Drosophila melanogaster: one gene and its partners. Changing the gene in region 2 together with the main gene of any one other region gives a genetic interaction. Each region holds a gene or a part of one and is shown on either strand. Other genes may lie near its edges.

Region 1 (7,799 bases), on a different chromosome or scaffold from region 2:
ATTTCAGTATTTCTGTATTTTTATGTCGACGGCAGGCAAGTCGAGAAATGAAAAGCATCAAAAGAGAAAAAATGCGAGCAGTGGGTCAGAAGAACCCGGTGAAAAATCATATGAAAAGCCAGCACAAATATGTGACCCGCCTTGCACCTGATGTGGGTTTAGAATTAATTGGGTCATAACTATAAGCTATATGTATAAGCGGGTTGGGAGCTTTATCGACGCATGCTAAATTTATCCAAGACAAGACCTGGCCTTTTTGGCATTCGATGCGGTGGCCGCAATTGATGGGAACGCATCGGAACAATTCTGACTGAAAAGCACTCTAAATCCGCAGGGTGGGCGACACCGTAGAGGCTATTCGTACACTCCCTCCGGCAAAATGCAATCGCCAGCTCAAGGAGGCCACCCGGTGCTTATTGCTAATCACACCATCTTGTTGGTTTCCAGGAACCTGCCTAATGCTCAAGCTTGGCCCGAAAGGAGCTTTGCCCAAGGCACTCAAGTGGAACGAGTCAAGTCAAGTCAACACAACCCGAGTCGGGCTTTATTCCCTTCGTATGGTAGCGAATCAGAATTGCAGACCTAACCCAATTCCGATCAAGAAGCGAAAGCCGGAGGGGCCTGGGGGTTCGGGGAGCTAGCTACTCGATTTGGAAAGTGCCATTTGTGCTATTCAAATGAAATCAGCAGCGAACTATTGAGCAGGTGGCGGGCGACACCTTCCATCCACCCACCCACTAACCATCGTCGCACTGGGTAGAACCAGCTAGAACCAGCACAATAGCAGTAGAACAAGCAGACAAGAAACGAAAAGAAAAGAAAGGAAAGGAAAGGTAAGAAAAAGACGTTCGGGCTCCGTCAACGAACACTTTGCGCCCGCCACATTGGAGCTGCCACACCCCCTCTGCCCCTGAAGTCCACACTTGCGAAGTTTTTCCCCCTCGTAAATGTTTGCAGTACAAATGTATAAAACATTACCGCACGGCTGTGCCAAAGACGTGCTCCGCAAATGGCGAAGAAATGGGGCAAAGGACCTCCTCCGATTCTCACTGGCTACGTTTTCCTGATGGTTTTCACTTCTTTTTTTCTGGGACATCAGCTTATGAAAGGCTGAACTATAGTTTTGGTTTTGTTTGCAGTGTAAATAAGAAAGCCAAAAAGGACTTAACGCCTAGGTCTGTGATGTATTTTAGAGCTGAGATCCCATATATCAAAATGAACTATTTTTGGTTGGTTTTTTAGTGAAGAAGGGGTAAATGAAGAAAGCTGTGGCAGCCTAAGAAAAGGAATAAATTTTGTTGAATTTCCACTCAATGCCTCTTTTTTCGACATATGTACATACATATATGCAGGTGAGTAAAATATGTAATACACATTTTCATTTTGTTATTTGGTTTTTATATGACGTACAAAAATTTGAACTCTGTCTAGCTAATTAAACCACCCTTTTCCTTCTTTCTTCGATACTTTTATTCCGGTTTGCCCCCATTTCTATTCATTTGGGTTTCTTTCATTTTCGTTTCGTTGATGCTGTCATTCGTTCTGGATCATTTGCGCTATTGTGAGTCATCGTCATCATCATCTTCATCAGCATTATCAGCGAAGGGTTATCGTATTATTTTCATTTCACCTTATCAGCAGGGCTGGAAAGTCGTCACCTTGCTGGATAGTGGATAATAGTTGTTGACCCACGTTTACCCACGTTAAACTAGCATAAAATGACACCGCCCAACTCACAACCCATTTTTGTTTGCCACTCGAAGGTGAACTGCGATTTTAAGAGCCCTAGAGGCAGACACAGAACAGCACAGCTGGGCAGTAGCACTTAACCCTAATTCCTGCAACTCTGACACAGACAATGAACACATTAGCCAAAGTCCTGGCTGCCTAGTTGCTTAGCTGCCTAGCCACCAAGCTGCTTGACCAGTGCCTTTGTCAATGGTGAAATGAAAATGAGCAAAATGCATAATCGAAAAAAACCATTGAAGCGTAAATGCTTTGTAACAGGATTCAGGAATGGGCGAGTGCTCGAAGGGAGAGGACTCTTACGGCCAGGACAAAACGAACACAAACACGACTACGTAAACCTAAACCTTCGATCCGAGCCAAAATAAAAGCCGATCCAAGCCACGCCAAGGCAACCAAACGGAACGAAACGAAACAAAACCAAGCGAGTGGCGAAGGACGACAAAAAGAAGGAGGGCTCTGGTGGGGAATATCAGGGATGTTGGGGTCACTGCACAGTTACAACCACTCATCTACGTATCAACCCGCCGCACCATCCCCTGCAGCAAAGCATACATGTGTGTGACATCGATACCACAACTAATGAACGATGAACAGGACGTGGACAACTCTTAAACTGACAAATGACAATGGAATCGGGTCGCACTGGGCACAGAGCACTGGGCAACCTGGCTGGCAGTACGGATCGAACAAGTCAGTGGATGAGAGATGCGGCTGCTCAAATGACTTACTATGGCTGACCAGCTACAAACCCAATTGCATCCTAAACTTAACCCAATCACGAACTGCGGTCTCTGCAGCTGAACCCAATGTGGCGAACCCCGAAGGCAGATACTCTTGCTCCACTCCCATGGAATGAGTGTGGTATCTGGGGAAATAGGCAGTATCCACTTTGGCCAGCTTATCGATAAGGTTCTACCTGCACATGTTGCACCGTCTAGTTGGCGAGCCATTTGCTTTCAAAACGATGAACTCAAATACTTGATGCTTCACTTTTGGTTGGGATGCACAAGCATTTAAAAAGAGTACTAGATGGATGCATTTTCGAAGCGAAACCCGGAATTTCTGAAAAGTTTTGCGGCTGTGGGAAATTCCGTTGCGGCGACTGCATTGCATTCCCGAATGAATCATTCCACTCCCAGTGGGTGACTCATGTGGGGGGCGGGAAGAGCTGAACTGCGCCGCTGCCTTCTATCAGTCAGCAAGCAGCGAACTGACTAATTCAGTTGACTCCAGTGAAATTGGGGGGAGTTGTGCCAAAGAAGCATGGTGTGCAACTAAAGTTGGCCGTCGGTTCGCAGTTTCTACCCGACAATCAAATGGCCAACGACTCCCAGCCACCCTTCTCCACCCTCCTGTCATCCCCTTTGAAAGCCCCAGGCCTCTGTAAAAAGGGACTTTGAATGGGCTGTTTGGCAGCAACGATTGCGTGTTCCGTTTGCCAGGTTTGAGGGAGACACATCGTTGGCATCGAGTGTTTGGGGAGATTCTCGGGTATATTGCACATTGCAGTCCGCAAATCCCTCCCTGCTTTCTGGATGATTCAGACATGTCCTTATAAAAAAAGAGTGAAAAAGGGCAGAAAGAATACAAGCAGAAAGGAGATAGCTACAAAACGGGTGAGCAACTGGGGAGGGCAGGGTACAAAAAAACAGAAATTCTTTTAAAAAAAGTCCCTAGTTGGTAATGCATTACTACAACATTGGAGGAAACCACTACTTTGGAAATCCCGCTTAAAACACACAGAACTTTGCCGACAGTTTTTTTTTTACTGAAAATGTGGGTTATATTGCAACCAACTGCTAGCATTTTTCACAAAGAAAAATGATCCAATATTAAAGTTACACGAAGCAAAAGGTATTAAAACGCTTTAGCAGTAGTTGTCCCAAGCAGGGTGGGAATGGTGGGTGCAAGCGACATAAGTAATCAACGACCACCACAAAAATGACGTCGGCGATGCGTGCCCCTGATAACAACGAAGCTGAAGGGTGGACCTGTGGGTGAGTGGCTGACCAGGTCCAGGCTAGTCCTGCCATGAATTGCACGCAGCGACGGTCTAGCATGAATAGCCGAATTAAGGGTAAGATGGGTGGAGAGTGAATGAACGAATGGAGAGCAAAGCAAATTGCAGGCTGCATACAAAGCAAGACATGAAAGGAGTGCAATGCGCTATAAAGCAGCTTAACTGCTCCCCTGTCCGGGATTGGGCCGAACTCCTGGCTCCTGGGTCCTTGGAGGTGCTGCCCCTCGGTTCTTCTCTTTCAATTGGTCTGTCTCCACATGAATATGGATTTTATTAGGTTTTTGTTCCGCCACAGAAGACTGTTCGCTCTGCGTTGCCAAGGGAAAATTGCTCCGAGGTATTTAAGAGACAAGAAAGTAAAGCAAAATTGTTAAGGTCAGGCACGTCGGCGATTGTGGATCGGCCCCAAAGAACGAGAGCTGCCGCCTGGCAAAAATTGTTTGCAAATGATTTAAAAACACTTTAGCTAAAGCTAACAATATCCTAGTAACGCATGTCTTCCCTTTTGGTTTGTCGGTAGGTGTGTGCGTGCACGTATGCCAGTCGATGAATTGACCTGAACAAGAGGATTCGTGGTGAATGCAGGTCCAGCCCCAGACCAATTTGGGGATTATGCTCAGACAGAGCCGGATAGTTTTTAGCCGGACTTAAACCCCAACCGAAGGACGCATAACCCGGCCCCGCACTCCATTTCTACGATATTTGCCAGTCGCTGCGTGTAGAAAATCAAAATCAAAATGTCTGCACGCCCTGTTTGGTTTCGGTAACACCTCCGCTACTTTTATATGCAAATTGCTAGTCGAAGCCAGCTGCTGCTATCCTCTAGCCTCAAGTTTTCGGTTTTCGGCTTTCAGTTGGCCAGTAGCCAGCGACAAGCAAACGGTTCAATTAAGCCAATACTTGCGCACACTCGCAAGTAATTTGGCAGCCCTATCACCCATCCCCATCCCATCCCCATCCCATACCCATCCCCAATCTCCAATCCCCAATCCCCAATCCCCAATCCCCAACCCTTTCCCGCCTTCAAGCCCTCGAGCCTTTAGTGCCGCTGCTAAGCGATGGCACATTTTTCGTAGCATACTTTGCGCGGCTGCTTAGCCGACGGCCACCACATCCCACAGAAACCCGCTCAAGTGCTTGTGTGCTTGTGTATCTGGCTCTCTGTGTGTGTGCGAGAGTGTGGGTGCCTGTGTGTGTGGGTTGCGGTTGCGATTGGTATTGCTGTTGCACGCAGAAAGTATAGAGCCACACTGCTATTTTGTGAGCCGTACTCAAGTTATACATAAGTTGGGTGTTGTGTCAGTAAGCCAGATGAGGCAGTAGCGCAACAACACAAGTCCCTAATTGCTGGAGACCTACTTGTCTTCCCCGGACACCGAATTAATATTGTTTTGACTTCTATCAGCTTCAATGCGTGGCTAACATCGAGCGTCGAGTTGTCTGTTTAAATCAATTTGTCATCCCGATTAAAGCCCTAACGAAACAATGTTTTAGTGTGCAGTTTTGCCCAGTTTCCCAGTGTTCTCTGTCAGTTTCATTTTCGGTTTGTGTTTCTGTTCTGAGTTTCGGCTCTTTCGACTTACTCCTTCGTTCCATCGAGTATTGTATCGAAAGTGGAGTGAAATGGTCTGGTGTGCTGTGGTGTGTTGTGGTGTGCTGTAGTGTGGTGTGTTGTTATGTCGTGTGGTGTGGTGTAGTGTGGTGTGGTGGGGATTCGGTGACTCACCTGAACCTGAGCAGTGCCAATGGCCAGGACGACCCAGAGGCTCCTCAGCAACAAATTACGACGCAGCGCGGCGCACATTGTTCGCACTCTTTTCTGCTTCTTTGCTCCTCGTCTGGTTGGCTCCTGGTCCTATCTCCTGGCTGGGAATCTCCGAGTTTGGTCTGAACTTAGCTGCTTCTGCGGCTGGACTGACGTGCTTCCAGTTCTGGTTAATTGTATTTGCTTTGTTGGCTATTCGTTTAACACTTTGCTGCACAGGCGGACGACGGTAGCAGCAGCAAGAAATCGAAAACACAAAAAAATTTCATTAGCAAGCGATTCGGAATTGTGGCCTTTCGTTTCAGCCTTTAACTTTCTGGGTTCTGGGTTATGATTTCTGTTTTCTGATTTCTGCGCTCTAAGGTTCGTACTCCGATTTCGTTCGATTTGCGGTGCCCAAGTTAGCTGCCCACAGCGCAGCGCTTTTCCTTTCGCCGATGCCCAGAAACCTATGCACGGAAAATGTCAACTCGGAAAACTCTGTGCGTGTGGCTTGTATGTGAGTGGCCGTAGTATTCGATTGTGGAACGTAGTAGGAGAGAGTCCGTGATGGGCGGGGGCGGATAAGGGAATTGAAGGAAAAGGAAGAAAAGAAAAATAAGGCAAAGCTACGAGAGTACTCGCTGCTATCTGTCCTGTCATACCCACTCGCTGGTTCTCGGGGTCCTGAGATTGTACTTCCCCGAAACGGAAAATATGAGTGGCACTATGGCCGCCGTTCTGCGCCTGGAAAAGTTGTCAGCTGCAGTCGTCGGGTTCCACGTCCCATGTCACTTGTCCATGTCTCCTGTCTCCTGTCTTGGCAGTTCCCACGCAAATCCACCCACTCGCTAACCCCTTCCCGCACTCTTGGAACGTATCCGTCGGGCTTCTGCGCACTTTCCCAACCCCTTTCTCACTGATTCTGCGCAGGTGCGCTGCTTATTGTCCCCCAGCTAAGTTGGCATCACAAATCCACTATTGGCATCGGCTTCGCTTTTTCTTTCCGAACTTGTATCACTTTGTTTTGGATGTTTCTCTATGGTTTTTGTTGTTGGGTTTCTTTTTTAGCACTATTTAGCACTTGAACAGCAAAAAAAAGTATTGAGCTTGTTTTGGTTAAATTTGACGGTCTCTCAATGTGTGTCTCTGGTTTTGTGCTTGTGGCTCCTCGGCCACCACCTCTCCGCCCGAGCGGGAGAACGACAAGAGCCACTGGCCAGCAGCCCCTGGCCTTCCCAAGCTGTCGGGGAGTGGTCAGATGGGGTGGCCCGAAGAAGCCCCTAAAGCGCTGAGTTTTTGGAGCCCTGGCTGTACGCTATACCTGGCGCTGCGAACGCTCACAAACGACTGCGAGTGGTCTCGTTGCCTGCAATCCTGCGAGTCCACGTCCGAAAGTGCGAACTGCGAAAGTCGAACTCGGGCGCAGAATGCAGAGCGCGTGCCCGGGATCGATATTAAGGGCGAATCGAGCAACTGGCCTTCCGCTTTCCGCGGGGGTGACAATGTTTTTGGCTGTCCGGGCTGCACTATGGTACCAGTGCTTCCAGTGGTAGTGGTATTAGCGGAACAAGCAGGACAGAAGTGACTAGGGAGAACTGGTTCCGCGGGCGAACCAAGAGTGTCTGGCGGAGTGCTTGTTAGTTAGTTTACATGCACACCGCTAGGTGGAAACTCCCAAGGGAATTTCGCACAGGTCACCGTCTTCAAAAGGCTGTCCTATGCACGAGTTTTTATAAACCACTAAACTTAATTCAAATTTGTTTTCCTCGATGGATTCAAGAGTTTATATACTTTTTCTAATGGTGAAGCCAATCTGCACTAGATGGCGTCGATATGTAAGATGTAAGATGTAAGATGTAAGATGTAAGATATGACCAAATCCAAGTTTCCCACCACCAACCACCCAATTTCCTATCCACATCACTTATTGCTTGGCCCTTAGCCAAGTTGCAAACCACTTTCGACATTATTTAACATGTTCATTTTTTCCTTCCCAGCGACTGGCAACTCTGTGCCGCACAGCTGATCTTCTTACCGGCTACAAATTAGATTTCTTACATTTGTTTATTTACGCCGCCTCCTACTTGCTAGGCCTCAGGAAAGCATAAACCTAGGAACGGAGCCTGGTACAGACACGGAGCTATACACCTACAACAACGCACATTTCACCTAGTTGCGCAACGCACTTAGCCGGCTGGCGTGGCAGTGCACGGTAAGCTGAAACGTACGTGGCAATGAATATGAAATCGAGCTTGCAGGAACATTGAACCAACGAGCGTGTAG
Region 2 (8,920 bases):
TTCATACCTACTTTATTTACAGGACATGGTTAATTATGCAAGAAATATTTTTGACAACTTAAGTGCACATTAAAAACAAATCGATTTTTCACGTAAATGTTAAGTTAAATAAAATGGGCTTTGAAAGTATCTCTAGTTCACAAATCTTTCGAAGAAACACATTCCTGTGTTTATAATCTTGTAAAAATTTATTAATTTCAATGCGTCAGTTATGTTGGCAATGTGTCAAAGTCGTCACCAACTGAAACGATCGGAACGTGCTCCAAATTAACTTCAATCGGGTTGTCACATAGCCTATTTCGTTTTGCAAATATATTCCAATCCATCACCTGCACGGCGTGCAGACTTTCCGCCTCGTTATGATGCCGCAACACCATGGACTCCTTCAAAGGTAACAACAATTAAGATTTACAACGAAAAATATTTTGTTTAGGGTCAGCATACCTTAATTTTCTCCCACTTGTCATCAACATCTTGCAGCCAGCTGAGGAGCAAACGTCCATTAAAGCGGCAACGAGCACTCTTTTCCTTTTCATCCTGCTCCGGTGTGATCATGTTGTAGACCTCGTCGTCCTTCAAATACGTGCAAACGGAATAGGGCGCCGGCTGTCCAGATATGCTCCTGGCCGCCTTCGAGTGAACGCGTATTATCTCCTGCTCAACGTTCATGCATAGTTTCTCCCGCTCCACGGTGTGCGCTTCGATCAGATCTCGCCTGGCCTTCTCCTGATCCTGATAGATCCTCTCCATGGCCTGCGGAACAGTGCGTGGAATATCCGGAACTGAGATCGTCGCATTGCGTCTTAATAAGTAGGATTTCTTTGTCAGCAGATACTCGTTGTAACCTTGCGGAGGTCTTGGCTTCACCGGATACAAGCTCTTCCACTTCTTTTCGATCTGACGACGGATGCTCAAGAACATCTGGAAGCCATTGGTGAAGGGATGGTCATGGGGGTGAGATTCTTCGGAGTTGACACCGGAATCCGCCGCATTTGAGTTCTTCGAACTGTCGTCGGTGTTTTTCGGTCGAATCTTTCGCTTCCGTGGATGGAGTTCCACGTTCGAGGGATTTATGTCCTTGGACGAGGATGTCGACGACGTCGACGGGCTTGGAACATTGGTGATTGCCTCCTGGTCAAACTGGTGGCCCTGCGGGATCGGACTAGATGTCATGTTGCTATAGGAGAGCTTCACATCTGCAGGATCGTTGGCATGATTCGATGACGCTGGCGATGGAGAGCTGCTCTGCATTTGCGGGGAGGAGTTATTGGAACTGCGCTCCACACTGGTCACTCCAGTGCGATGAGAGCTTCGCAGGACCCTCAGGTTCTTTTCGTCATTGAAGAGCTTTATATTCTTGTCATCGAGGGCTGTGGAGCAAATGCTATTGCTCTTCTGTGGACTTTCGTGCGGGCTAATAGATTGATTGGTTATGACGGTGTCAATGGAATCGCTATTGGAGCTGACCACATACGGCAGGGCGGCATTGCGAGAGGCAGTCACCTTGCCAGTTCGAAGCACATTGCCCTCAGTGTCGATTGAGCAGTTCTGCTGCGGAATCACAATTTTTAATGGCGGCACTTTGAGTCCTCCGTTGTATAGGCTGTCGTTACTCTTGTAATCATCGCTGCACTCCGTTTCGTTCTCAATATCTACATTCTTACTAGTCTCCGCCGGCTCCTTTTCGGCATTGGAAGCGCTGCTTTTGTTTCCTGACGGGGATCCCTTCGTTGCAGCTAGCTTGGAGCTTTTCTCCACGCGCGATGTGAGCTTCAGGGAGGCCCCCTTCACGTCCTTTCCATGCTCCGAATCCTTGCGCTTCTTTTTCTTTACGTCCTCGCCAGATTCCTCGTAGTCCTCCTCTATGTCTGAGTAGCAGCGCTTGGCAGCCGAAGTTCCCTGATGATTCGTATCGCTGGATTTACCATCGTTGCTGCTCTCCTCCGCTGAAGATTTGTCTTTCGTGTCCAGGACCTCTTGCTTCTCATTCAGGCTGCCCTCGTCAGTCTCTGCGTCTCCTTTCTTGCATTCATTCTTCTTTAAGGTGGTGCGGGATGAATCTGCAAGAACGAGAATCTTATACATTACATTTGACGGCTGTGTGATTTAGTTTGGAAGATCATGTAGGAAGTAAAATGAAAGCTTATTGTCTATCGGATATCTTTTCGGGTGGAATTTGTAGTTATGTTTGAAGGAAAACCAACTAAAATGATTTTGTGTGAAAACTAAGAACTTAAGCATCGTTAAATGAGTTGTTTTTAATTTTGGTTTCTAAAGTATTAGCTCGGATAAGAGACAGGGTTTTTTTGACATCTTTACACATATTTCTTCAATAATAATTGGTATCTTCATTTGAATCAGTTAAATGACAATTTATCCGCAATCGAAACCAGTTTCTCGGATACTTTTACATTATTCCTGACTCTCAGATACATTTATGTATGTACATACGTAGATATGTACATGCATAGATGTATATGCGTGTAAGTATGTACGCAGCGAAGTACCCACGATGTAAATTGAAATTCAAGCCGACGAGCAAAAGTTCTAAGCTTTGTGACTGAACTATAAAATCCACTTGAATCATGTGAAAAGTAGACATTCACTTAATTATTTTGCTTATTTACCTGTCGACGAGTTGGCTGTCATTTGGATGAGCAGAGCCATTTGCTGCCTCTCCGACATTGGCGTGTTTGAGTTCGATCTGGGTTGGGTAGCTCCTGTATTAAATCCTATCCCCTTCGGTCTTGGGGGTGGCATACTCTTTTGTTCAGTTTTAGACGGTAAAAATTAAAATATAGAACAAAAACGGAGACTTGAAAAAGTCTTGCAAAATTTATTACAAAAAGAATAGTGCGACCGTATCGTGAATACAAAAATATGCCAGCTTGCTAATATAATAACGATGTTTTCAAATCCATTAAGTTAACAACAAATTAATTTATATATTATGTGTACAAATTTCAAGATACACCTTTAATTAGTTCCAAAAATTAAATTTTTTATTGAACTAAATCAATACCTGCTCCACCAAGGTATGTGCGTTTGTTGACCTCCAACATGTTATAGATGCTTACAAATAGCATGTTGCGCATTATTACTTTTAACTACTACTTTATTTATACTACATCTTAGCTATTATACGAAGTCTTATTGTTAGTCTACCCGATTTTTTCAGGAATTTTCATTTCTTTAGTTAGTGTTTCGATTCCACTGCGTTCTCCTCCCGACAGTGTGACCACTACTGCACAGTTGAAGAAAATCCTAGCTTGTCAAACACAATTCAACGCCCCGGCTACGGTCACACTCAGTTTTATTTTAGAAGTTTTGCAGTGTAAGATATTTTTATAGCAAATCTACGCACTATTTCGCTTATTTGAGGAGTTTGCAGAGCAAAACCGCTGGTAATAAGTTACAATATTTGAATGCACTGCGCGATAACTTGCATAATCATTTCCAACTGGATTTCGAACGACAAAATCCATTCACCCACACACAAACACATCTACTTGAGCTTATCTGTGTATGTACATATGTTGCACATAAATATAAGTGACTGCCACTTGAAGAAAAGTTTTTTACTGGAAAATATGATTCGTTTTACATAAATAATCAAGTCTAGTTGGAAAAGTGCTCGGCGGCAGCTCGTGTGGCAAAGTAAACACAAATGGAGGCCTAAGGCCTAAGTAATCGTTTAGCATGATAAATACTAAATACAATCTCTTAATGCCACTAACTTTTATGTTTAAGTGTTCATAGATATTATGTACAAAAAGTGACTCACTTTTTAATACACTGGAATTAGTGAGCTGGGGTGTTGTAACCCCATTTGCAATATTTATAATCTGACTATTCCAATCACAATATTTGGCGATCTTGATTAAGAATAAAGCTATTTTCTCGAAAATCAACTTACAATCTCATTTTACGCAATCTAGATTTCCGATTCGAAAGGCAAATGACTAAAGAAAACTATAATTTTGAATATGTTAGGGTACTAATAGCTTCGGTCTCTAAAAAACTATACAATTTATTTTAGTTGATGTAAGCAGCTACTTTTGCCATTCGTTTTTTGTTTATTGCATGACGCCAAGTGTAATTAACTTTCGCCCATAATTATAACCATAATAAACGAACTAAATGGCCTTAAACACTTTTTAACGAAGTGTCATGTTTATGTAAATCACACCGGCAATGTTGATAAATAATAAATAAAAGAAAGTTTTCAAAGCACAGTATTCGATATAAATCGAATATGCTTCCACCATTAGTTTCCAATTAGAAAACATAATTGAATGAACTGGAATTTGTTTGGCTTAAAAGTAAATTGAAGTTAACTTAATCCAGAAAGTTGATCCCTTACTTTTAATAGTTTCTGTAGTTTCTAAAAGTTATTGTTACAGCGAATGTAATAGCGCGGGCATTTTCGATTATCAACCACCTTTTTTAACGTGCATGCGCACTGCGAATTTTCTTTTTCATCGTATTGATTAACGCAGCTAGAATCGTTTAATATACGGTTAAAATGATTGTCTCCAAAGCTATCAAATCATACAGGATGTAAAACACATCAAATACCTCGATTAACACCTTTTAATTTTGATATCATTCATGTTGTTACACTTTCAGATGTCAGAGGGTTGTAGGAGCACTTACTAATCTGTATTTTGTATGTGTTTTGTAGACAGAAAATTGAGAAAATCGGCAAAATGACGCAAATGTCGCAGGACGAAATCATAACCAATACGAAAACAGTCCTTCAAGGCCTCGAAGCCTTGCGAGTGGAGCATGTTTCGATTATGAACGGAATCGCCGAGGTGCAGAAGGACAATGAAAAGTCGGACATGCTGCGAAAGAACATCGAGAACATCGAACTGGGCCTCAGCGAGGCCCAGGTGATGATGGCCCTGACATCCCATCTGCAGAACATCGAGGCCGAGAAGCACAAGCTTAAGACACAGGTGCGCCGCCTCCACCAGGAGAACGCCTGGCTTCGCGACGAGCTGGCCAACACTCAGCAAAAGTTCCAGGCATCCGAGCAGCTGGTGGCCCAACTAGAGGAGGAGAAGAAGCACCTGGAGTTCATGGCGTCCGTGAAGAAGTACGACGAGAATCAGGAGCAGGACGACGCTTGCGACAAGTCCCGCACCGATCCCGTGGTCGAGCTATTCCCGGACGAGGAAAACGAGGACAGACACAACATGTCGCCCACTCCGCCCAGCCAGTTCGCCAACCAGACTTCCGGCTACGAGATTCCAGCGCGTCTCCGTACTCTGCACAACCTGGTCATTCAGTATGCATCGCAGGGAAGGTAAGTCATCATCCATGCATTTTATTTTACTCGTGAGCACTAAAGAAACCCCTTACCTACAACATCGTTATCTATCAATTCATCATTAACTATAATAGCCTAATATATTTCTAGATACGAGGTAGCCGTTCCCCTCTGCAAGCAAGCATTGGAAGATCTCGAAAGGACAAGTGGTCACGACCATCCCGATGTAGCAACCATGCTGAACATTTTGGCTCTCGTGTACCGCGATCAGGTGCGTCTACGCTTTGATTAACTTAATTTATACAATCGTTAATTAACAACATCTCGTGCCATACAGAACAAGTATAAGGAGGCCGCCAATTTACTCAACGACGCTCTGTCGATTCGAGGAAAGACACTGGGCGAGAACCATCCAGCCGTGGCGGCCACGTTGAACAACTTGGCCGTCCTCTATGGCAAACGTGGCAAGTACAAAGATGCCGAGCCACTGTGCAAGCGTGCCTTGGAGATCCGAGAGAAAGTCCTGGGAAAGGATCATCCCGATGTTGCCAAGCAACTTAACAATCTCGCCCTGCTCTGCCAGAATCAGGGCAAATACGACGAGGTTGAGAAGTACTACCAGCGAGCTCTCGACATCTACGAATCAAAGTTGGGTCCCGATGATCCCAACGTGGCCAAGACAAAGAATAATCTGGCCGGCTGCTATCTGAAGCAAGGTAGATACACCGAAGCTGAAATCCTCTATAAGCAGGTCTTGACGCGAGCCCACGAACGTGAGTTTGGAGCCATCGACAGCAAAAACAAGCCCATTTGGCAGGTAATGTTGTGTTGTTGTGCTGTTATGCCTGGTAAATACTCAAAAGTTCCTTTTCTTACTACAATTTTCAGGTGGCTGAGGAGCGTGAGGAGCACAAATTCGATAACAGGGAGAACACTCCATATGGCGAGTACGGCGGTTGGCATAAGGCCGCTAAAGTGGATTCGCCCACGGTCACAACCACTCTAAAAAATCTGGGAGCACTTTACCGACGTCAAGGCATGTTTGAAGCGGCCGAAACCCTGGAAGACTGTGCAATGCGGAGTAAAAAAGAAGCCTACGATCTAGCTAAACAAACGAAGCTCTCACAATTGCTAACGTCAAACGAAAAGCGACGATCGAAGGCAATTAAAGAGGATTTGGATTTCTCTGAGGAGGTGAGTTTCAAAATCGAATCACTTAACTTAATTAACTTAAATTAATCATTCCCATTTATTCTTGCAGAAGAATGCGAAACCATAAAAATATTATTTGTTCATCGCCCACAACGGAATCTTTAAGTTTATGATTGAAAGCTAACAGCAAACACACACTTTATTTATTCATTCCTTAATATACATAAGCTCTCAAGCATACATTAGCAAATAAACAACGTTTTATACCTTGTTATTTCAAAAAATATGTACCGCTTTTAATAATAAACCAAATATATTTAACATAATCCTGTTTGTATTTAAACCTTCAAAACTAAACCAAAAATACGGACCAGATATAGCACATTACAGTGGAATCAGCTTAACATTTATTATTGATAACAAACAGTACGATTAGTTTGCCTACGATAACTGAGTATCAGTTAGTCGCTATCATTGTCATTTAAAATCGAGGAAACTATGCCTGCAAACTGCTCAGCCCGATCCAGAAATTGTTCCCGAGTGAGACTCGTATCGTTACGTAGATTTTGCGCCGTGAGGAGTAAGTTTTCAAAGTCCTTCAGCTGACTATCCAGCTCGTCGGCACTGATTTCCTCCTTGTGATCTGCAAATCAATAGGACGAAATGGATTATTGGTTTCTCAACTCAAATCCTGGGCACTAACCAGAACCAAACTTGACATTGGACCAAACTACGTTTTTCAAACCCTCCACAACTTCCTCGTAGTCCTTTTCAGCTTCATCTGGGTCACTCTCAACATTGCTTCTCAATGTTATGATGTCAAAAAGGAAATTCGTTTTCTCCTTAATTTCTCCAAAGGACAATCCACCTTCTTCTGAAGTGGAAGAGGTTAGCAGAAAGCCCAGCTGAATCTGTTCATTCTTCGCTAACGTCTTGGGAATAGTGTCGATAAAGGAGGTCTGCAAGTAATTGTAATATAATAGATATACTATTATTGCTTTTATAAACACTTACGTCTTGTGAATCAAAGTAAATAATCAACGCCTCGGTTGCTTGAAGAATTTTCTCCGGCACAGCTTCCAGTTTTCCAGAAAATGGAATTAAGTTGATAGAAGTGTTATAGTACTTGGTTTTAATGATGCACTTATAACAATTAAGTGAGCACTCCGTTGATGTTGATTCCTTCGATTGATTCACTTCAGATAAAATATCTGCAACAAAATGGAACGTATAAACGTAGTAGTAAACGTATTTATGAATGGGTTTTTTTTTTAACAATCCTTTATACTCTTATAAAAATGCATTGTATGATTAGTATGCTGTATTCATACCAACAGAATAAAAACATTTAATTCGCCTGTATTACTCATAAATTTCAAATAAACAAAGCTGCAACAACGTGAAAATACTGGGACAACAAAAATAGGGCCTTTGAAGAACACTCTGTACTTTTTCAAGTAACTAATCTTACTTTCGACTATTTCCAGTGCAGGAACTGCTCCATAAGATAAAACAAGTACTACTGGATCCATTATATTGCAATTTCTTTATTTATTTCAGTCAACAAAAACAAAAGCTATGCACCAGTGTGACCAAGCTTCGAGAACGAAAAGTTCTGAACTCCAAATGAATAAAGCTTTGCTTTTACCGGCACTTTTTTAAAATGTTTTTTTTTTTTTAATAATTTACATATATATTAAAAAGGAGGGAACGCTTTATTTCAGTTTCCCGGCTATAGGATACCCCTTACTCAGCTGGTACGAAAGAAGAAAAGACTATTTTTTTAGATAGCTCACTAGCTCACTGGCGTTTATATTTATTGTCGATTGTGGTCGTTTTGGTGGGCGTGGTAATATAAATTAGAAAATATATGGGGAACCAGTTTCCATTCCAAATCAAGAAAACTGTACTCCTTCCCAAGTAAAATACCTAATTATGTACAATTTACTAGACTTTTCTTTAAATGGCAACATATTCATCATTATGTTTTGATATGCTAACTTATATTTACTGAATATTTTTGTCATATCTCTTTATCAACTGCTCATAGGTTATATCACATTTCAGGCCCTCGCCCACGTCATTCTCATAGATTTTCTTTGCCCGCTCGAAAGCCTCAATAATGCAGGATCTGAAAAGAAAAGTGATCTATTATAATTTTATTTAAATTTATAAAGAAAACTTTATGCCCACCTAAATAGCTTCTGATGCAGAACGTAGGCGCTCACATGGCCGGCATCCAAGTAACGTACTTCTGCTCCTGGCCATATTTCCTCCAGACTGGAACACCCCTCCCGCGGCACATAGGCATCATCTTTGGCACATACCGCAATTATCAGGGAGGTGTCGAAGGGAACCGAAAAGTTCTTCAGGTGGGTGCACTCGTCCATCATGCCGCGCATGAACTGCAACGCCTCACGTTCCCACCAGTTCGTCTTGGTTATGTCTATTTTATCGGTTTTGCTCTGCGCAGACAGGGGCAGAATGAATTTC
Region 3 (7,122 bases), on a different chromosome or scaffold from region 2:
ATCAAGGCTGGTTAGTCGAATTATTTACAAGAATAGAGCAAAAGCTTGTAAATTTTCGGAATACCTTTCCATAATGTAAAAACAGTCATTTGATTAACATGTATTTAGTTTATACCTCGCATATTGTTCTTCAAATATAAATTTAACTAACTGTACGATTTACTAGACACTCATTAAGTTACTCAGTAATTATTTTAATTTTTGATCTTTATTTACAAATACATTAACCACTTAAGTCAGTTGAGTTCAGTTAACGATTTAATCGTATAAAGCTTATAAGAAGTGACAGTGACTTGTTGTAATTATAACCACAATGTGTTTTCAAAAACTTCATTTTTGGGTTTTTCTCCTAAACTGAATTAACAAATTTTCAACTATTTAATAACTACTAACGAATCAAATCAAGTTAAATACTCAACAATCAAACAAACAACTTTAATTTTGGCAACCGATCACATAATTTACAATCGTGTACACTTATCATACGATTCGTACCTTACAAAAAATCACAGTTGAATGCGGACAAACGTTACGTACGAAAATTTAATTGCATTACAATCGAGACTTGTAATTTTGCTAATCTAACGTGCGCGGTTAGTGTAAATTTAAGTGCACATATATGCAAATACATATATGTCTGCATATATATGTATATGTATGTATATTTGACTAAAGCTTTCACAACTATAGCCCAGCTGCTGGGGGCCGATAGATAAAAATAAATATATGTGGGGGGTTGTTCCGACGGCTGGGGCGATTGACTAGCGGAAGTTGTACAGCTGAAAGTAGTACAACATCAAGACAATGAAGATGGCGGCAAAGTATCAGTAATCGAGTCGCTTTTTCAGGCGGAAAAACTCGGCGTTGTCGATGCTCGTCAGATTGTCCATGTTCAGGTTGCGCAACGTCTTCACGCCGGATAGTCGCTCCTCCAAGTCTGTGTACATACTCCGACATCGATAGATTGACAGCGTTTGCAGGCAGCTGCAGTTGGTGATAATGGCGTCCAGCGTGTGCTCCGTCAGCTGGCTGCAACCGCTGATGTGCAGAGCCTTCAGGCGGGGCAACTTAGACGTTACCACCTGGATGGTCTTGTCCGTAATGTTGTAGCAGTCAGATAGGTCGAGCTCCTCAATCGATGGGCAACTGCTGGCCATCGCCTCCATGCCCAGCAGGGAAATCTGCTGGCAATTCGAGAGCATTAGCCGCCTCAGCTCGATGTGCTTCAGCCCATATTTCAGGGATACATCACTGATCTTATTGCAGCCACGCAAGTTTAGCGATCGCAATCCCCGCAACTGCTGAATGTTGTGACCCTCGAAATCATCCTCTCGTATCAGGTTCATTTCGTAGGCGGCCAGCATGGCTTGCTTTCGCCGGGCATCCCGAACAATCTCATCCTCGGCCTTGCTCCTGAGCGATATCTTAATGGACTGCAGGGAACCCGCCAGGCTGTCTCGTTCCGCCAGCGTGTTCGAGTACGGCGGGTAGAAGTTGTCCATCGACGACACCTGCGAACCCGACTGCTTACGACTCATTTCCAGCTTGGATATGTTTATACCTGTGAGGGCTGCATCGGTTAACTATATTTAAATAAAACCAAATTACAAGGCAGAACTTATATTTATCGCGACTTTCAGTCTTACCCCACTGCAGTGCTCTAAAGAGAGCTCGCGCAGCCATCGCAGCTGGCCGATGACCGACTGGATAGCCTCATCGGTGGCTCCATTGACGCAGTGATTCAAGTGCAGTGATCGCAGACATCGTAGGTTACTGGCAATTGCCTTGATGCATTCCTCGCAGATCTGAAGGTATGAAACGTTCAGCTCCTGTATTACCGGATTCTCCTCGCTAGCGATGCCTTCTATGATGCCGCTGCTTGTCAAGTTATCGCAGTTTGAGATGTCCAGACTTTTGAGACACTTTAGCTTGGCCAAGTGGATGGCACCAGCATTTGTAATGCTCAGGCAGCCGTTCACCTTCAAGTGCTCCAGCTGCGGATTAGTTTGTACCAAGGCGGCCAGATTTTCATCGTTAACACACATTGTGGCCGACAAATCGAGGGCACACAACTGGGGCTGTGTGGCTAGAAAGTTCAGGATTGTGGTGCAGTTAAGCTGTCTGCATCCGGCCAAATAGAGGCGCTGCAGTTGGAGATTGAGGTCGCAAAGGGCCAACAAAGCCTGGCCAATTAGGGTGTGGCTAAAGTTCAACACGCGCAACGTACGTCGCTGCAGGTTCAGAATGGTGAGGATGAACTTGAACGTGAGCACAGACTCGCTGGGCAAAACGTGATCCGAGGAGCTGGTGGCAGGGTAAAATCTGCGATGAATAGCATTGTGAAAGGCTATGTGACAGCCGGACATGTTAATCGCTTCCAGACTGGGCATGAACGATGTGAGACGCATAAGAATGGCATCCGTGAGGTATTGGTTCTCGCACAGCGTCAGCTCCTTGATGCCGGCCAGATTGCTTGCCAGGTCGTTTAGGTCAGGACAGGAGTTGTTGTAAGAGTCCAGGAAAGAGCCGGACATGAACAGCGGCAGACAGCGCTTCAGCGACAGCGAGTGGAGATGGGGCAGCACGCCCAGCATGCCGTAGAACTGTTTGTCATTCAAATCCACATTGTCCAGAGCCAGGGACTGAGCGGTCCTGCCCATGAAGCGCATCAATTCCTTTACTTGTCCCAGTGTCACGTCCTCGAACAGGAAGTGCTGGAAACGCCGCTCGCAGCGCATCAGATCCACTCCAGGACTCAATTGATCCGATAGCACCACCTTGGAGAAGCAGACTCGCGTGCGCTGGTTAAATTCCGCCTGATCCAGCGCCGCATGCCATCGCTGGCAGGTGGATCCTGCCGCTTGTAAGTCCGAGTAGCCGAGATAGCTGAAAATCTTCAAAACAATCTGGGGGCGGAACAGAAAAAAACAAAATCAGCTGACTGCCCTAACAGGTATATGAATATGCAGATATAGATACGCTCGAAATGATGGATTGGTCACGGGACCGCGGCAGTCCGTTCACATTATATGCTCACCTCCAGCGGCAGATCATCGTATCTATGCAACCCGTACTCTAAGCCAGACATTACTCTATTGTTTTCGGATGCAAAATATTAAGATTAGTACAACCAACTAGCAGCTCCCACCGCCCACTCGCTTCGCCCGCAAACTACACGAAAACTACAGTGTTGACTAACTTAGTACCTGTGCTAGGTACAGTAGGACCGTGCCTTTTTTCTATCCTCACTGGTCTATAAAATACCAGAAGAAAAGTGTACCTTCATTGATTTACCAATTGGAAGTCGATCATGGAATTATTTACCTATTGCTTATGAATGATTTTAAATGTATATCGTTTTTCCTAAAATCAAAATAGGTTTAAATTAGCACAAAAAGCTTTAATTTATTTTTATAAATGTTTGCATCTATGAATCCAGTTAACAAAGTACAATGTGCAAGTACAATTTATTTATATCGATGATATATTTTGCAATACTATTTACTCTTAGCTTATTAGCCGTTACAAGTAATAACTGTCTTTTTTAAATGACTTTTTAGATACCTCTGTTTATAAATACTCCAATGACAACTGCACTTTGGCATTTGTTTGGTAACCGCGCACGGTAACTTTTTTTATGACATCAGATCGAATTGATTGTTGTAAAAAAGGATTTTTGAAGGTTTATAATTATTTCGTTGCCAAAGGATTCCAAACACCGCCGTCGACGTGCCCACAATAATGGCCGATCCCAAGTTCCAGAACCTACCGGGAATAGTAAGTCGGAACTCCGCACCATGGCAGTGACGTTTAAGCTTTCGTTTTTGCCCATTTATACATATATGTACTTTATGTTTTTAGGCTTATGACCAGCCGGACGTGTACGAAACTCCAGATGACCCGGAGCTCGATACATCCGACTACTACGAAGAGGAGCCGGAGAACGAAGCCATCGAGCGACTGCACATCTCGCCGAGCGTCGCTCACAAGCGCTTCAGCGGAGCAACGGTCGAGGGGAGTGTGGACTTCACGGATCGCATTGGACGACGCATGTGCCGGGGTTACGATACGCGCGGCTCCAGCGACTACGAGCTGGTTGGCCAGGGCGAGAAGGAGACGCCGGTGCAGAAGTGCCAGCGCCTGCAGATCGAGATGAACGAGCTTCTGAACGAGGTGGCCGCCTTGCAGGTGGACCGCAAGGTAGCCGACGAGGAGAAGCAGTCGTACGATGCGGTGGCCACGGTTATCAGCACGGCCCGAAAGGTGCTGGAGTCGCTGAAGCTGGAGCAAGTGCTGGGCAAGGAGCAGACGCCTGGAAGTAAGCAGGTGAAAGCACTCATTAGCCAGGTGGAGGAGTTCAAGCAGTCCGGCGTTCTCACAGCCATACCCACGCCTGGCACCGATCTGGCGGCCACGGCCCGCGTAGCCAGTCTAGAGCAGCGAATCTCGCAGCTGGAGAAGGTGCTGGGCGCTCAGCCGGACAAGTTGAGCCGCCTTACCGCCGCCACCAACACCACCAATGTACTAGAGGCAGTGCGTCATCTAAGCACCAAGGCGGCCCTGATACAGCCTGATAAACTGGACACCATCGAGCAGCGCCTGACCTCGCTGGCCGGCAAGATGGATGCTATCGCCGAAAAGTCCAGCGGCAGTGCCCAGGACGCCAAACGAGATCAGAAGATTACGGAACTATACGACATCGCGAAGCGCACGGAGCCAGTGGTGGAAATACTGCCGCACGTCATCGAACGCATGCAAGCCCTCGAGGCCCTCCATAAATATGGTAAGCAATTCTATTTAGCATTTTAGCATTGTGCTTGTTTCTGTAACTAATCAACTTGCTCTGCAGCAAACAATTTCGCCAAGATCATCGCAGAGATTGAGCAGAAGCAGGGAACCATCACCACTAGCTTGGTGAACAACAAGGAGCTGCTGCATTCCGTACAGGAGACTTTCGCCCAGAATCTGGAGACTATCAACAGCAAGGTGGCCAAGGTGGAGCAGCGTGTGGCGGCCATATCGTCTGCCAAATGAGTGGATGCATACCATGCGTATTAAATAAACATAGCTTATATTTATGAAAGATACCTATAATAAAGAGATCTACATTCGAGTCCAGTTCCAGTCAAAAAATAAATGCAAAGTGATCTGGAATTTAAAATGAGTTCATAATAAATATTAATATTAAAAGTGCTGAAGCTAGTTTACGAATATAAAATGCGATGGAAAATAAATCTTTAAATAATTTCGACTATCATTTTTAATAATGTATACTGATAAAAACTATTTTTAAAATTGCACATTGAAACGGAATATTTAAATTGCATACCGTTAAACTCGCAGTATATTCTGGTCGCACGCATTTGGTATTTCAGTGCGTGCCCTGTGGTATATTACGTTGGCTCAGAGCACGGTCACACTGGCCGTTCCTACGGTTCTTAAAAATATTAACGATTCCAGTTAAATTCAAGATCAAAAAGTCTCGTTGCAGCGCAAGCGAGTACAAATTGCATTCACAATTGTGTGTAAGTTGCGCAATTAGCATAATTAAAGATACTTAAAGGCCGGCGGGCACTACTGGGCCACATCTGCAATGGGGAAGCCAATGGGAAAAGTGATGACGGGGCTTACTCCAATTGGACGTGACACAATTTCGTTCTGAACTTGTACCTCCCATAATATTTGTGTTTTTTCGCTTTATTTACACGAGCAGCACGAAGGGACATTGCAAGATGAAGATCAAGGAACTGCAAAAGACGGTGAACATCGCCTGGTCGCCGGCGCAGCAGCAGCAGATTCTCTTGGCCGCCGGCACCGCCGCCCAACAATTCGATTCCAATGCCAATTCCACTCTGGAGTTGTACTCACCGAACTTCAGCGATGCCACATACGATCTGGAGCTGAGGGCCAGCGTTTCCAGCCAGTACAAGTGAGTTATGGCTTTCAATTTGTGCATCAAGTCGTTCACATAACCGGCTTTTCCTCCCGCAGGTTCCAAAAACTCATCTGGTCCCCAGTGGGACCACACCCCAGTGGCCTGATTGTGGGCGGCTGCGAGGCGGGGCAGATCAACATATACTCAGCCGACAAGCTGCTTGCAGGCAAGGAGGAGCCGCTTCTGAAGCGCCAGGACAAGCACACAGGCGCCGTTAGCGGGTTGGACTTCAATCCCTTCCAGAACAACCTGCTGGCCTCATGCGCCTCCGAATCGGAAATCCTAATCTGGGACCTCAACAACCCGGAAACAAGCATGAGTCCCGGCACCAAGACACAACCACTGGAGGACGTAAAGAACGTAGCATGGAACAGGCAGGTGCAGCACATTCTAGCCTCCGTGTTCAGCACACGCTGCGTGATTTGGGATCTGCGTAAGAGTCAGCAGATCATCAAGCTCTCCGACTCGCAGTCGCGAGTGAGGTGGCACGCTATTGAGTGGCATCCGGAGGCGGCGACGCAGGTGTGGCTGGCTTCCGAGGACGACCAGGCGCCAGTGGTGCAGCTGTGGGATCTGCGATATGCCACGGCTCCAGCCAAAACATACCAGATTCATGAGCGCGGAGTGCTGGGAATGTCGTGGTGCCTGCAGGACAACGATCTAATGGTTTCGTGTGGCAAAGACAACCGCATCTATTGCTGGAACCCCAATACCAAGATTCCAGAGGGAGAAATCCTATCTGAGGTTGCCACCACTGCCTCGTGGTACTCCGATGTGCAGTTTTGCCCACGTAATCCAGCTCTGATAGCTAGCGCCAGCTTGGAGGGAGCAGTTTCCATTTACTCTCTACATGGAGGCACTCACCACCTTGTGCAAACCGCCAACAAGATTGCCGACTCGTTTCCGGGCATGGATCAGTTTGCCCAGGAGCCAATTCCGCAGCAGGCCACGCAAGTGGTTTACCATGACCTGGCGCACGCTCCCAAATGGATGAAGCGGCCCTGTGGCGTTGCCTTTGGAGTTAGTTAGCTGGCGTAAACAAGTTTATAAACCTATTTAAAAATCAATTTCTTCGTTTTTAGTTCGGTGGCAAGTTGGTCAGTTTCAATGGAACCTCGAAAACGGTCAAGGTCCAACAGCTAACCACCGAATCCGCCCTTGTGGACCGGGCTAATGCCCTGGAACGC
Region 4 (8,176 bases), on a different chromosome or scaffold from region 2:
GGAATGACGTCAGTTCGTTAGTGACAACTCAATTTAAAGTTAAACGGCCAACGGGACCATTTTCAATGCTAAACGAAAACTGTCATAATATGTCCATTCTCATGATGAATTCGAGAGTAGCTCAATTCAAAGTTCATGCTAGAGTGCCATATATAGATCATTTTTTGCATTAATTTTAGTCCAAATAGAGAAATTATAGCGTTTTCTCTGCATGCATCGCACGCAGCGTAGGCACACATTCCATCCAGAAAACTCAACATTCGCGCGGAAGAATTCGAGGCTCTGAACGAAGGAGGACTATAATTGAATTATAAACAAGAAGAATCGCAATCATAATCGCTCGAATGGAGCAACTGGCTTCCGGCTAGCACAGAAATTGAAGATGATTTCCAACCGCAACAAAGTCGGGGCCGCAGCACGCGATCTCGGCCAGATTTGCAGTTAGACAGCGGGTGTGATTAGAGCCCAATGAGTAGTGGGTAAGTGGGGAAAACCGGTCTCCGAATGGGAAAAGCGGCACTTGTGCATGATTCACATGCGCCACAAAGAGCTATGCCCCGATGCGATTAAAACGCGATCACACAATAATCATAAAGAAAAACTGGAGCCGGGCGGCCAGCGAATGCCCAAACAAAGACTTCCGGCGTTTGGTCCACGGCAGAAGATGGAAGGCTGTAAATCCCAGATCCAAGATGCCATATGCCAGATGGAGTGTTGCACTTTGGATGTGGATGTGGAGTTGATGCCGCGAGGCACCGTTAGTATTTATTGATGGCGGTTGTTCGACATGTGTAAGTGACGCCATCGATGCTTGTCGCGTAATTTATCCGATGCCAAATTGCCGGCGTTAATATCTGATAATGCCTGACCCATTGGCAGCGGCTGATTGAAATCGCACTAGGCCAACGGGGCGTATGCGCGTTTGCACACGCCTCAGCCTAGGCAAATGCAGAAGTTGCCATTGCTGTATTGCATTGCTCTTAACTGCGATTTTCCATACGACTCTACTTTAGTTTCAATGGCTGGCGGCTCTGTCATCAATCCCCAGTTGGAATTACACAGTTGACCAGGAGTGTCCCCCCTTGCATACGGCATAAACTCAAGTATGGTAGCTTTATGGTGCCTTTTATTGCCAGGCATTTGCCGGGGCTCAAGATTTCATGGCCGGCGGCTGGGAAACTGCGTGGAAAATGGCAGACAGGCGCAATTAATTTTATGACTATTTATGTAGATTTTTCTCGGAGTGTAATTTACAGAAATGCAGGTTAAAAAGTCAATTGCTTTGTCTTGGTTTACTTTCCCAACGCGCAGTTAAGCCGTTCACCGCAGCACTCAACCTTTTGTGTTTAGTGTTGCGCCCACTTGAGCCGCATTTGCCCGGAAAGTCTCTTTTGAACGGGTTAAAATTGTGTTATCAAGCTATCAAGAACCCCATTCAGCGCCACAGAATCTGACATATATATGGACTTATCACTGCCTACCTAAGTGGTTTAGAAAGCCGCAGACGTGACAACTCATTCAGCGCGGCTGCAACTGTAAAATTTCATAATTTATTATGCAGTCGGATGGGCCTATGCAGCTGGCACATTTTCCGATATTACCATACGAATCCCGCCAGGGAGACAATATAAACAATAAGAGATATGCACCCAATAGCGGTCTTCAGAGCTGGATTCTTTCCGGTTCTGTTTGGCAGTCAGGCGGGATGTCTCACTCGCTAATGGATTAACTTGTTTGTCTATTTTACTGCCAAACTATAATTTGAGCCTCTGAAAGCTACGGCTGGGCCAGGCCGTAATAATTACACAGTTTAGGTCCGCCAGCCAAACTAGTTTGGGCGAAAGCCCGGCGATCTAATGAGCCATTGTCTGGGCCTCATATTTCATTGGGTCGGATAATAATCTCACGCCTGGCTTATCGGTGGAGCGGGGTGCTAAACGTCTTTGTCGCCATCGAAATTGATTGCTCTAAGCAGAAATGGAATTCCTTTTCAAGTTTTTATTGCGCTCACATAAAACCCGATCGCATCTCGAAAATCGTTCGATGTCGTGGAAAACAAAGTGAAATGAAAATCGAGTCGGCACGCCGCCAAAATGGACACCTTGTGGGCGGTAGGCAGTTGGCCGGTCTAATCTGCAGCGCACTCGTGTTAAATGTCAAATCCAATCAAATGGCGTTGAGTGAGAGGAAACGAGCGGGCCGGGCCAGCTAACGTTGCTCCATTTTCCGGGGAACCCGTTCTTATCTGCCTGGAAGATGGTTGGGAAACTAACGCGAGCTGACAGGATGACAGTTCAAATTGGCGTTTGCATACGTCCATCGACGGATCCAATACTTATTTACGACTTCCCGCCTCAAAAGCTCATAACGGGGCCTAATTAATTTACAGACCGAAATTCGCTCGCCAATGATGAATAGCTGGGAAATGGTTCGTTAATTGCGTCTTTAAATGGACGTGAGACATGTGTAATATGCAAATGGTGGGGCACAGACACAGAGATTGACATAACGAAGTTAGGTTGTTGACCCACTCGGACCTTTTGTTATGCTAACAAAACCAAGTCGATAACTGTAAAGTGGCCAATCTATTCCGAGGCGGGAATCTTTAGCTGCTTTGTATCTCAGATAGCCCGACAGCCAGATAGCCAGAGCATCTTGCCTTCATGCTCCGGCAATTGTGGCTAGATGGCTGCGTGCGGAGTAAACTAACCAACAAATTAACACGCCAGTTAGTTAGTTAGTTAGTCAGTTCGAGGCGTCGATTGGGGTTAAGCAGCCGTGGCAGTTGGCCCATAGTGAGGGAGAAAGTTGATGCAGCAGCTCCATAATTGAGCCAACTAGTTGCCGCAACTCGGCCATAAACAACAGTTTTATTTCGAACCGCCGCCGGCCGACGCTACATAATTATGAAGAATTTCTCAATAAAGCCCGGAATCGAAGCCAGCCGCAGTGCGAAAATTGATTTAGTTGGCCGGGCCATAAAAGACCAGAGCGAATTGCAGTGTTCCGTTGGTGCTTTATGGCCACCGTGCCTGGGCTATGTACATACACCGCGGAGGAATGCGCCGCAGAACCACTATCGGTGCGCTTTAAATTCAAATTGGCATGTCAGGCAATTAGAAATCGGAGATAAATTTCAACCCCGGCCCACACACACGTTCAGCTCGAGTCAAATGTCTCTTGTCAATGAGGTGTTCGAAGCCCACACAGACACACACACACACACACGGGACTGAAAAGCAATTGCTAACAAGCCATTGTTGACACATTGCCGCCATGTAAGCCCGTTTCATTACACTTCTGTGGGTGGCAGCTGCTTTGGATCACCAGATCCGTAGATCCTCAGCTTTATCTGCACTATGGCCCACCAAAAACTAATTGGATCAAGCGGCGGAGAAAGCCAAGAGCTGTGCGCGGTAATCAAAATATTTCGGGCTTTGGCAAGTGTTTTTATGGCTAGACGAGTCATGTTTTATGTGCTGGAGCGGGTCGTAAGCCTATTTGGTTATGACTTCATTCCGCGAGGCTGCAGCAAGTTGGTGAAAGTGCGCTGCGAATGGCGATTAAAACTTAACGCATCTAAATAAATCAAGCTGAGCACTTCAGTTGACGTGTAATGTGCATAAGCTTATGAAAGCCATTACACCGACGGGCCGGGCATATCCAAAGTTCGTTGCTCAAGTCTTTCGTTTCCTAAGTATCAGCCACACACCTTGGCTAACAGATTCTCGACCTTCGATAATCCCATAAAAATATTGCGCTAAAGCAGCCGGCCCGACGTCTGTGCCTCGCATATCAATCGGCCTCGAATTTCATTTGATTTTTAATGTAATTTTATTGTCAGTTGTATCTGTATCTGAATACGAATACGAAAGCGTTTGTATCAGTGAAGGAGTTTGAGTTTGAGTATCAGCTGGTATCCGTGTTGTACGAAACGAGCTGCGTTGACAATCATCAGGCGAAAACATGGCTTAAATCACATCTCACTTGCCCGTGTGGCTTATCCCGAGCATTTAGCGTAAATGAGCGCTTAGGCCAATTGTTGCATTAATTCACTTGGCCCCAGGAAGGAACACTATGCCAGACTTATTTAGCTGGCCCTGATAGGGACCACTCTGGATTATGGATTGCACTTCACTTTTGTCAATTTTTTGCAATTGTTGCGAATTCAGTTAGCAGCTTTTTGTGCACTTTGCTCCGATCTGGCTGAAAAACGGTAAACGACAGATCTGGCGCAAGATAACGTGGACCGAAATCGACATAGCCGAAGAGCGCGCGATCGATCGATCGTTCAGACGGATTACGCGACGACTAACCCGCACCTGTTGCCAGATGTAAACCGCTCGCAACTGACGACGCTTTCAGACTGATCGAACCTGCCCAGATGTGGATTTCTGTGTGGTTTGATCTTAGGCTGTGGATCGTGTTCGATGAAGGTAAGGTGTTCGTGGGACTTCTTGCTTTAGTGTTCTTTCAACGAGCTGCCAAAATACTATCACTATTAAGTGTAGTTAACGATAACAAGATAGTTTATAGTAATTTGTTTCCGATTTCGTCGTTAAAATTGTCTAAATTTGTATAAAACGCCAAATATCATAAGCTGCAACTCAATCCGCAACTGCAACATCGAACTTGTTTGATAGCTCCATTGCTTACACTACCATCCCAAAAGTATGCTTCGTTACTACGCATTTTTAGAATCATATACATGTAGATTTGCGCGTAAGATTCTCTGTAGAATCTGAGTTCCTAATATTTCATCGTTTAAGTCTAATGTAGAAATATAAGTTTCTTGTTTCTTTTTGCAAACAATATAGGGTTCTAAAATTCTAGATGCTGAAGTATCTGAAGAACTTTCCAGGACTCTATGGGACAATAATAGGGCTTTTACATAGAATGCCTCGTGTTCATAAATAGTGAATTGCGTAATCTACCTTCCCATGGATGTAAGAATTTAGTAGTTATATATCCAGCCGTATTCTGATGGCAGCGCTGTTCAAATCTTAAATAATTAACTTTAAGTAATAAACACCTTGTAAATTAATGGTGTTTAAAGAGCAATAAACTTAAAATAATTAAGTAAGAAAAAACTGCATGTAGTAATGAAGTGCATCAGAAGAGCTGATTACCACACATACACGAAAGAATACGTACTAAAATGATTTTCATACTTTAACAGTTAAAACACTAGAAGGGTACCCAAAAGAGTTTTTAATATGGTAACCGTGAAATACGATTTGGCCAAACCCTTTTGAGTAATTAAGAGTGGTTTTTATAAATTAGATGTGACCAAAAATATAACATAAGCTACATTTAAAGCCGGTACTTAGTGATGAAATATCTCTTGTCAGAAAGCAAAAATATTTCCCAACCACATTGCAAAGTGGGCTTGAAGTGACAAAAAGTGCGATGTCAACCGTGTTGGCCATCTGACGAGTTCAAGGTTGATTTCCAGCTGACCATGTTAGTTGGTCACCATCATTGCCTGCCGACTGGAGATCATTAGGCCGCACATTAGTGCCATCTCAGCGCAGGCTAATTAGAAGCTGAGTGTGAACGGAAACACTACGTTTCTGCGTGCCGCTTTTTGTTGCACAACCTGGGATGCCTCAATGATGCATGATTTATGGCATTTTGAATTGTGGATCGGCGGCGTGTGAAGCTCCCGAGGGGCCGGGCATCAAAGACCTGTCCAGCAATACGTATACTTATGTAGGTTTCTGCGCTTGGCTTACCTGAAACGAAAATGTAAATCGAAGGCAATTAGCTGAGTCTAATAAGGGCCAAAATAAGATTGAGTATAAGAATGGGGATTATAGTTGGATAGCGTTGACGCTATCAAAAAATCAATTTGGCTAATTGCAAGCATAACGGCCTCATTCGTTGCCACATTTCATCAAACACCATTTGGGAAGGAAACGTCAAAAGAGCAGCCCCAAGGTGCAGACAACTTTTAGACACGCCAAGTCTGGGAGGGAATGGCTGGAGTTTAGGGGGCTGGACGTGGTTCGTTTATTAGCGGAATCGAATGGGCCCCAAAGTGTCATCAAATCAATGCAAGCTAGCTCAAATCGAAGTCGGCTTCCAAACTTTTCCGGCCCACATTTGCGCGCCATTAAGCATTATGGGGGTTGCGGGGTGTGGGCCCGCATTCCTCTCGTGAAATGGGCAATTTTGTTGGCCCATAAAGGGCTATCGTAATGGGAAAAGTTGGCGCCACATCGGGGGCACAGGTGTGTCCCCAGGCAGGGAAATAGTTCCCACCCCGGGCGGGCTAATAGATTTCCAAATCAATAGACCATCCCTGGGGAGTTTTTCTTTATTTCAATGCGAGAGTTTTAGCAACTTCTCGGTCATATTAAATTTGGACGTTAACATTGCAAACAAGCCGCAAAAAGCTGTTTTGTAGGGCTACTTTAAGCGTTTTTGGTGCTCTCGATAACAGAAACCACGTTCTCGGCCATGTCACACAGGTGCGAGTAGGTCTGCATGTAGAGGCTATCCCTGTAAGATTTCCGCGATCGCAGTTTTTTCAAGAGATACTGATATGGGTTTTTCCTACGCAGCTGCTGGATCCACGGCTTTTCCTCCGATTCTTTGCCATTATAATCGGTCCCGTCGGATGGCGGCTCCCCTTCTTCCTCTCTTAGCTGAAAGTGACTTATCTCCAATCTGAGGCCACTCAGTTCCATCGACGCCATCATCTCCTCCCATTCCTGGATTCCATTGCCTATACAACCCCTCACGTAGATGAACCTGGATCGAATCCTCTCGTCATTCCGACTGAAATGCGTAAGAGAATCTCTGCCTCTACCCAGCTTTAGTTCCTCCTGAACTTTGACCAGTTTTCCGTAATAGAACTTCCGTTTATTAGAGTCCGGAAGCCGCAGGATTACCTCACGAACCGTCTGCAGGCGCAGATCCCAAGCGGGCTCCCTCGGTTTCTTTAGAGCTTTGTATAGTGACTTCAATTTTTCCAGATCATCAAACCGTTCGCACTTGTAGCCGGGATTTTCTACATTGAACACCTCCCTCTCATCCAAAACTCTTTCATAAGGACATATCACTTCGGGCGGATGCAAAAGGGGCACTACGGACGCCTGGTACTTGTTCAGGTCATTGGACATTTTCTTCTTCGCCTTGTCCGTAAGCAGTTGTTGGTGCCGCCGCAGCTTGTTTGTGTACTCCGGCGCGGGAGTACAGTGCCCCGTAAGCCGGGCCAAGAAAATACCGCGCACAGAACCGATTACGTTGGGAAAAATGCGGAGCTCATATCGCTGCTTCAGCAGGTAGCATCCACGTGGCCTGAAAAGCGCTCGGCATACGTGCACCTCTCCTGGGAAAACAGTGAAGTTGGCCTGGGACATAAGGAAGTTATGGCATTGGGCAGTGCTTTTGGGGGCACGCTTTGATTCGACAGAGCACCACTGGCAGGTGAGCACATGACCACCGACGTTCTCCACGCTAGCCACATCCTTGACCACGTTCTGGAACGGATGACATTCGAAGAAAACGTTTGCGATCTCCGGCAAAAAGATGCGCTTTCCTGAGTTTACGAACAGCATACCGTTAATCTTAACGGCTGCACGGGAAACCACAGATTCCGTTCCCTTTCCCTGGTCAGGTTCTGCCCTGGAAGGGCTCTCCTCTTTTTGCTCCTCGTCGGGAAGTATCTGAGACGTGCTGCTCACGCTGAAAATTGAGTCGCAAGACACCCGCTCGACACGACTGATTTCGCCGTCGGTAAACTCCTGCTGCACGGGACCACCCACCACCTCCAATCTGTCCAGATTCGGAAAGAACGAGATGACGCGCATGATGTCGCTGCTTTTGTTCTCAATATGATTCTCCAGCATTCGCGACTTCTCCCACGGAGTGGGCATCTCGGGCCGTTGGTACGCCCTGCCCAGGATCTCCTGCTTGGTGGCACGGGTTAGCCCGGTGATCTCCACGTCCGCCCGACCGGCCTGCTCGGCGCACGGAAGCGTCTCTTGCAGTTCTGGTAGAACTTGGCATTTGCTGGGAAGAACAGCAGGTTTCTTCTGGATCAAAGTAGTGGGATTCATGCGACCGGCAAGGTCGAGAAGCCGCACCACTGTACCTCGATCCCTGGGAGCTACTGTGCTGCCCACGTTGATCAGCATTTCGTCGGGTCGGCGGCCGAGCTTCCGCTGGA

Evidence for each region.
Region 1: of Klc (region 2) and Appl, changing one enhances a phenotype caused by changing the other (phenotypic enhancement), as found in Drosophila melanogaster (one study listed by BioGRID).
Region 3: of Klc (region 2) and DCTN2-p50, changing one enhances a phenotype caused by changing the other (phenotypic enhancement), as found in Drosophila melanogaster (one study listed by BioGRID).
Region 4: of Klc (region 2) and pk, changing one suppresses a phenotype caused by changing the other (phenotypic suppression), as found in Drosophila melanogaster (one study listed by BioGRID).

What each region holds. Positions count from the first base shown.
Region 1 is NC_004354.4:529,573-537,371, reverse strand, and holds the start of Appl (beta amyloid protein precursor-like), read right to left. Parts: upstream 6,203-7,799; 5' UTR 6,183-6,202; intron 5,746-6,182; 5' UTR 5,574-5,745; coding exon 5,496-5,573; intron 1-5,495. UniProt on the Drosophila melanogaster protein: During development, plays a role in the regulation of the neddylation pathway. Appl and APP-BP1 interact antagonistically during development.
Region 2 is NT_037436.4:12,744,447-12,753,366, reverse strand, and holds Klc (kinesin light chain), read left to right. Parts: upstream 1-3,310; 5' UTR 3,311-3,404; intron 3,405-3,527; exon of another isoform or gene 3,528-3,657; intron 3,658-4,468; exon of another isoform or gene 4,469-4,560; intron 4,561-4,684; 5' UTR 4,685-4,709; coding exon 4,710-5,311; intron 5,312-5,425; coding exon 5,426-5,546; intron 5,547-5,612; coding exon 5,613-6,092; intron 6,093-6,163; coding exon 6,164-6,469; intron 6,470-6,536; coding exon 6,537-6,554; 3' UTR 6,555-6,751; downstream 6,752-8,920. Other genes in the region: CG10973 (uncharacterized protein), read left to right, coding at 23-73; CG10984 (uncharacterized protein), read right to left, coding at 210-383, 445-2,060, 2,512-2,565, 2,628-2,760; CG32109 (uncharacterized protein), read right to left, coding at 6,889-7,070, 7,131-7,386, 7,442-7,638, 7,899-7,959; CG32112 (uncharacterized protein), read right to left, coding at 8,435-8,558, 8,621-8,920. UniProt on the Drosophila melanogaster protein: Kinesin is a microtubule-associated force-producing protein that may play a role in organelle transport. The light chain may function in coupling of cargo to the heavy chain or in the modulation of its ATPase activity.
Region 3 is NT_033778.4:8,888,213-8,895,334, forward strand, and holds DCTN2-p50 (dynactin 2, p50 subunit), read left to right. Parts: upstream 1-3,619; 5' UTR 3,620-3,741; coding exon 3,742-3,777; intron 3,778-3,861; coding exon 3,862-4,783; intron 4,784-4,849; coding exon 4,850-5,034; 3' UTR 5,035-5,127; downstream 5,128-7,122. Other genes in the region: CG8272 (uncharacterized protein), read right to left, coding at 825-1,583, 1,647-2,906, 3,038-3,088; Sec31 (secretory 31), read left to right, coding at 5,733-5,929, 5,992-6,955, 7,018-7,122. UniProt on the Drosophila melanogaster protein: Modulates cytoplasmic dynein binding to an organelle, and plays a role in prometaphase chromosome alignment and spindle organization during mitosis. May play a role in synapse formation during brain development.
Region 4 is NT_033778.4:7,183,425-7,191,600, reverse strand, and holds the start of pk (prickle), read right to left. Parts: upstream 4,369-8,176; 5' UTR 3,988-4,368; intron 1-3,987. Other genes in the region: CG30384 (uncharacterized protein), read right to left, coding at 6,417-8,176. UniProt on the Drosophila melanogaster protein: Acts in a planar cell polarity (PCP) complex; polarization along the apical/basal axis of epithelial cells. Correct expression of the alternative isoforms is required for PCP signaling in imaginal disks.